2 linked regions of the Saccharomyces cerevisiae S288C genome follow. The protein of the gene in region 1 purifies or fractionates together with the protein of each later gene. This does not show direct contact. Each region holds a gene or a part of one and is shown on either strand. Other genes may lie near its edges.

The links.
Region 2: the proteins of LSC1 (region 1) and LSC2 purify together in Saccharomyces cerevisiae (affinity purification with mass spectrometry; 4 studies listed by BioGRID). This does not show direct contact.

Annotation. Positions count from the first base shown.
Region 1 is NC_001147.6:591,466-594,876, reverse strand, and holds LSC1 (succinate--CoA ligase (GDP-forming) subunit alpha), read right to left. Parts: upstream 1,821-3,411; coding exon 831-1,820; downstream 1-830. Other genes in the region: ARP8 (Arp8p), read left to right, coding at 2,290-3,411. UniProt on the Saccharomyces cerevisiae protein: Succinyl-CoA synthetase functions in the citric acid cycle (TCA), coupling the hydrolysis of succinyl-CoA to the synthesis of ATP and thus represents the only step of substrate-level phosphorylation in the TCA.
Region 2 is NC_001139.9:977,452-981,167, forward strand, and holds LSC2 (succinate--CoA ligase (GDP-forming) subunit beta), read right to left. Parts: upstream 1,869-3,716; coding exon 585-1,868; downstream 1-584. Other genes in the region: MPC3 (mitochondrial pyruvate carrier), read left to right, coding at 1-325; SDA1 (Sda1p), read right to left, coding at 2,314-3,716. UniProt on the Saccharomyces cerevisiae protein: Succinyl-CoA synthetase functions in the citric acid cycle (TCA), coupling the hydrolysis of succinyl-CoA to the synthesis of ATP and thus represents the only step of substrate-level phosphorylation in the TCA.

The sequences.
Region 1 (3,411 bases):
ATATATTGATAATATAACTATTAGTTGATAGACGATAGTGGATTTTTATTCCAACAAATAGTTTGATAATTTTTGGCATTCCTTTTTTTGGCAAAGGTTATATATAATATTATGTGTAGTTCTCCTCGAGGATATAGGAGTCCTCAAAAAGGAATCTATATTTCTACATAATAATACTATGATTATTTCTCCTTCTGTTCTATATGTTTTATTATCCTATTACGTTATCAATCCTTGCATTTCAGCTTCGTCTAACTTCGATGACAGTTTCTCATATCTTATGTCATCGTCTAACACCGTGTATGATAATATATTGGTAGTGTGACTACTAGTTGTTAGACGATAGTTGATTTTAATTCCAACACTTACCTATTTATCAGTGTCATTACTAAGAAGGAAATTTTTCATTAATAGTATATAACGTGCTGAGTCTTCCCAAATTGATTGAAACGCGCAAGTGGTTCAGTGGTTAGAATTTATGCTTCCCAAGCATGAGGCCCGGGTTCGATTCCCGGCTTGCGCATCTGTTTTTGCAAAACAGACTAGGAAATTCAGACGTTTTGTTATTTTTTTTTCCATTTCAATTATTAAGCTTTAATCAACCTTTATGTATACCCTTGTTAAGAAGAACATTAAATACAAACACTATTAAAAGATTTTTAGTAGAATTTATAAGGATAAATGAATATATACAAAGGGAAAAATTAACATAGAATGTTGAGTAAAAGCTCTGAAAAGAAAACGGATGTCAGCTCCATACTTGTCTAAGCAATAATCGAGACATAGAAGTCTTCCTCTTTTGAAAGCAGTTCATTCTCTTCCTAATATAATCATTTAAATTTGGCAAATTGATCCAGTAAAGCTTGACCTAAGTAACCTGGAGATTCAACGACGGCAACACCAACATCTCTCAAAGCTTGTTTTTTGGATTCTGCATCAGTTCCAGATCCTTCTACAATTGCACCGGAGTGACCCATTCTAACACCTTTCATTTGACCAGCAACAGTTCCTGCGATGAAAGATGCCACCGGCATCGGCTTACTCCTGCTAAAGTTGTATTCTTTGAGAAATTGAGCAGCTTCGATTTCGGCCTTACCACCTATTTCACCTAACATAATAATACCTTCTGTAGTTTCATCTTCTAGAAATAATTTCAAGGCGTCAATAAAATCAGTACCGGGAAAAGCATCACCACCCATACCAATAACCAGTGATTGACCAAGGTCAGTTTTTGTAGTTTGCTGAACAGCTTCGTATGTCAAAGTTCCCGATCTGGAAATAATACCGATTTTACCAGCTTGAAAAATTTTTGGGGGCTGGATACCAATTCTTACCTTTGTTGCTGGGTTAATGATACCAGGGCAGTTGGGCCCAACTAATCTTGTTTTATCTTGTGTCTGCAACATTTCTGCAATGTATAACATGTCATGTTGAGGAATACCTTCAGTGATACATACAGCTAACGGAATTTCAGCTTCAATAGATTCTTTAATGGCAGCAGCTGCGATCGGTGGAGGAACAAAGATGGCACTGGCAGTGGCTCCAGTCTCCTTAATCGCGTCCTTCACAGAGGCAAAGACAGGTTGGCCTAAATGTGTTTGACCCGCCTTTTTTGGGTTCGTACCACCCACAACATTTGTACCATATTCTTGAGAGATGCTGGCATGAAAAGTACCTTGTTTACCTGTGAACCCCTGAAAGATCACCTTGGTGTCCTTGGGAAGCAGCAAATTTTTGATCGTCTTATCGTAAGGAATAGATTCTCTGTGAAAGTGACGACAAATTTTGAGAGAAGCTTTTGAAACGGTAGATCTTAACATTATCAAACTGAAGAATAAATGGTCTGCAAAAGAAATTTTCTATGAAATCGAACGTATATAGAGTGGTAAGTAACAAACAGAACAACAATTAGGGGAAACTTGTCTCCTTCCAGCTTTTATATCGCTTGATTAAATCCAACTGTGGTAAGCCTATATATACGCAGTGTGCTGTGAACAACTCTCGAACAAGGATACTTAATTGACAATTGCAAAGCACTTAAGGGCTCTATTACCATCTGGATATCAGTCTCGAGAAACGCCTTTTTTGTTTCTGTTTTTATAGCAGCAACTTTGGGTCCGAGGTTGGGGTAGATCCGTTATCCAGCCGCTGGTTGGGCCGTGCAAGATGACTTATTTGAGAATGGCAATATGAATAAATGGAGATGATGAACGCCCACGAAGTAGCAAACACTTTCAGGTAAATTACTAGTCAATAGTACATAAATACAGGGATACAATCGCACCTAACATGTCGCAAGAAGAAGCAGAATCCAGTATTATTTATGAGGAACCCATTGATATTCCGTTAGAGGATGATGACGATGAGGATGAACTGGAAGAAGAAAATAGCGTACCTTTAAGCAGCCAGGCGGATCAAGAAAATGCGGAGAATGAGTCAGACGATAGTGTCGATAACGTAGTTGGATCTGAGACACCCAGAAGTGTAACAGGTCTTTCTGTTGACCCAAGAGACGTTGCAGACGAAGAAGATGAAGATGAAGAAGGGGAAGACGAAGATGAAGACGAAGACGACAATGATGTTGACAATGAGGACGAAAATGATAATGATAATGCCAACGAAAATGAAAATGAATTAGGGAGCTCTAGAGATAAGAGGGCACCACCTGCTGTGCAGACTAGTAAACGTTATAAGAAATATCCGAAGCTAGATCCCGCAAAAGCACCTCCCGGGAAGAAAGTCCCGCTACATCTTTTGGAGAAGAGGAGACTAGGACGTATTAAAGCTGCTGAAGAATTTGCCAAGACGTTGAAAAAAATTGGCATTGAGAAAGTGGAGACAACTACTTTACCTGCCACTGGCCTGTTCCAACCTTTAATGTTAATCAACCAAAAAAACTACTCATCAGATTATCTGAAAAAAGACGATCAAATATTTGCACTTAGAGATAGAAAATTTTTGAGAAATAACAACACTAGCCAAATATCTAGTACCAACACACCAGATGTTATAGATTTAAAGAGTTTGCCCCACTCAGAAGCGAGTGCAGCACCACTTAATGACGAGATAGATCTAAATGATCCAACAGCAACTATCGTGATACATCCTGGATCAAATTCTATAAAGATAGGATTTCCCAAAGATGACCATCCTGTCGTAGTTCCAAATTGTGTAGCGGTACCTAAAAAATGGCTGGATCTTGAAAATAGTGAACATGTTGAAAACGTTTGCCTTCAAAGAGAACAGTCAGAAGAGTTTAACAACATAAAGTCGGAGATGGAAAAGAATTTTAGAGAACGTATGAGGTATTATAAAAGAAAGGTACCAGGTAATGCTCACGAACAGGTAGTATCTTTCAATGAAAATTCCAAACCTGAGATTATTTCAGAGAAAAATGATCCATCTCCTATA
Region 2 (3,716 bases), on another chromosome or scaffold:
AAATGATATTAAGAGGCCTGTTGAGAAGGTATCAGGAGCACAAAATTTATCTTTATTAGCGACGGCACTGATTTGGACGCGTTGGTCGTTTGTCATCAAGCCCAAGAACTATCTGTTAGCTTCCGTCAATTTTTTCCTGGGTTGCACTGCAGGCTACCATCTAACAAGAATTGCTAACTTTAGGATACGGAACGGTGATTCTTTTAAACAGGTTATTCACTACATAATAAAAGGGGAGACTCCTGCAGCCGTCGCAGCAAAGCAAACTGCATCCACATCGATGAACAAAGGTGTGATCGGTACTAATCCGCCAATAACGCACTGATTACGTAAACGATAATATGTTCCTGAACTCGCATTTTTTTAATGATTTTTTATGACCTCTTATATATTCTTTCATTATATAACCTCTATATTACATCAAAAGATGGAAAAATATAAAAAAATTAAAAAAAAAAAAAAGAAATTTTTTCCAAAAGAGTATATTTATATGTATGTATACATGTAGGGAAAATAAGAAACTTTATTAATAGTAAAAAAGCATATATACTTTATTATTAACTCTTTTGTTTTTCTCGAGAAGCTTAATTTTGGGTCAATTCAACGACCTTTTTAGCAGCAGGATCTAATTCATCAAACGAATAAATCTTCACGCCTGACTTATTGATAATGTCGCGGCCTTCTTCTACTTTGGTACCTTGCAAACGTGCCACAATGGGGACCCTAACTTCTAGTTCTCTGGCGGCTTCTACCAGCCCCAGGGCAACATAGTCACATCTTACGATACCGCCGAAAATATTGACGAAAATTGCATCTACGTTCTTATTGGATAAGATCAATTCGAAACCTTGTTTGATGGTCTCAGGGGTGGCACCACCACCACAATCCAAAAAGTTCGCAGGATCGCCTCCATTTAATTTGATGACATCCATAGTAGCCATAGCCAAACCAGCACCATTGACTAAACATCCAATGTTACCCTTCAACTTAACAAAATTCAAATCATACTTCTTTGCCTTAACTTCATCAGGATCTTCTTGTGATAAGTCCCTCCAGGAATATATCTTTTCCTGTCTGAATGATGCGTTATCATCAAACCCAAATTTGGCGTCTGTACACATGATTTTGTGGGTTGGATCATGTTCAATTTCACTCAAAGGGTTAATCTCCACTTGTGTAGCATCCCTTTCCATGAATATTTTATACAAATTGGAAACAGCTTTTGCTGCCTCGTCTTGTGCATCGGGACTGAAACCGAGACTCTTGGCAACATCCTTGGCCATTTGTGGGCTCAATCCCTTTGAAGTTTCAATTGAAAATTTCTTTATAGCATCTGGGGTTCTCTCAGCCACCTCTTCAATATTCATACCACCTTGACTGGACGCAATGATCATCGGTTTCTTGGTTTGTCTGTCCATTAGAATAGATAAATAAGCTTCATGCTTTGTATCTACTCTTTTCACTATATATACAGCAGATACTGGCTTCCCCGCTATTCCCGTCTGTTTAGTAATCAGGTTATGATTGAGCATTTCTTTTGCAACATCCTCTGCCTGCTGAGGACTTTCGATCATGTGAACACCGCTTTTGTAACCGGTGTCGAAGTGACCTTTACCTCTACCTCCGGTCAATGCCTGCGCCTTGATGACCAGTTTGTTAGTGTTTAATTTCTTGGCTGCTTCGAAAGCCTCTTCGGGAGTGAACGCTGGAAATCCTTCTGGAGTACCAATACCGTATTCCCTCAATAACTGAGCTGACCTGTATTCATGAATTGACAAGTGTCTCCTTGCTTGTAAAGCAGCTTGCGCGTTTAGCCTGCTTAATTGCCCACACTTTGAAATTAGGGATAAGGATTTTCTTGAGTACATTTTGTTCAGTTGCAATGCTTCAGTATTTTTTTCGATTGTATTGACTCAATCCTTATTAATCCTAACTACCTAAAAGTCAGTTACAAAAAAACTGGACTATCGCTCTATAGTCACTGTTATTTTTCGAGAGAAAACGTCAAAGTGCTGATAAGGAAAACGTCGATCTTATATAAAACCTCAAAGATGTTGACTACGCGGCAATTGAAAGGCCAACCAACTTTTAGAATACTCACTCCGCCGCTGCGGGGAAAAGCCGAGAATTCCCGATGAACACATAATCGATACCAGTTGGAGCATTTTTCTCTGTACCAAGACATAAAAAGAGTTTTTTTTAGTATCTACCTGGCTTTGGTGTTCCATTCAAGGTAGAGAAGTCCTCATACAGTTGGAGAGATGAATGTATCTGTGTATATGTATGTATATATTAATATGGCTACGATGTCGTCTAATACCCCTTCTTCTTTTGTTTGGTGATGTGTGCACGTAACACTTTTTGCTTGTCTCGTAGTGACATTTTTTGTTTACCTCTAACAGATCTCTTGTGAATAGACATAACAAAGTTCTTCCTTCTTTCTTTTTCTCTGTTGGTAGTAGAACGCATGTTGTCACGCTTACCGCGTCTACTACCAAATTTGTCTCTACCTTCACGACCTTCCAACACCTTTTGTAATCTTTCCTCACGAGACTGTTTGTATTTGATAGGGCCTGTTAGTGTACTTGCATCAACTAACTCTTCACGCTTGTCTTGTTTGTGGATACCCATTATTTTAGCAACGCTTTCCTCATTACGCAATTCTTGTAGTTTAGCGAAATCTGCCGGAGTTAAAATACGTGTAGAAGCAATTTCACGGAAGGCAGCTTCGGGATCTATATCTGCATCTTCTTGCTCATCCTTCACTTCTTTTTCATCGTCATCATCGCTTAGTTCCAAATCGGAATCTGATTCCTTGCCCTTAGCATTGTCTTTTTCATCGTCACTATCTTCCATATCAACGTCATATTCTTTATCACTATCCATGGTGACCCACTCACCGTCGACATCGTCTTCTTCGCTATCGACATCTACTTCCCAGTTGGCATCAGCGTCTTCATTTTCACTCTCTTCACCATGTTCTTTCTTCCATTTGGCTAACAGTTCGATACCAGCAATCCCTTGAACACTGTTGTCGGCACCAAATTGCGGTCTTTTTGAATCTTTACCTCCTTTCTTGGCTTCTTGTACTTCCATGGCGGCATTCTTACCACGATCCTTCTTCTTTAGCATTTCTGGTGCCACGTCTCTATACAACGCTATCAATGACTTGGCAGCCATATTGACACCTTTAGCTTTAGACCCCTTATATTCTACCAGATCCTGTAGTAGAATCTCATCGATAGCCAAAGGTGCACGAGAGCATATTTCTCTAATGGTATTAATGCCTGCAGCAGCGACTTCATTGGCAACACCGTCTGATACAAACTCGTCTGCAATCTTTCTCACCATGACATTTATAACTTCAGGAGGGACAAGATCATGACATGCTTGGGCACATGCGGACATAATTCTTGTAACATCTCTTTGTTTCGGAGTTAAGTACTTTAAAAAAAAAGTATAAATTCCTAAAACAATTAACTTATGGGTACCAATCAACCTTGATAACAGCTGCATCAAAGATATTTTTTGTTCCATGTCAAATTTGTTTTTCGTTTTGCCTGAAAGATGTTCCTTAAACAATTTTTCGGCAAATCCTTGTGGATCTCTCAAAAGGTGGATAGCACTGAAGTTTAAATACCCTTGAGGAGCACCCGGTCCGTTCTTCTTCTTCTTCTTCACAGTTTTTATGGCATTCTCCAGCTTCTTACCACGTC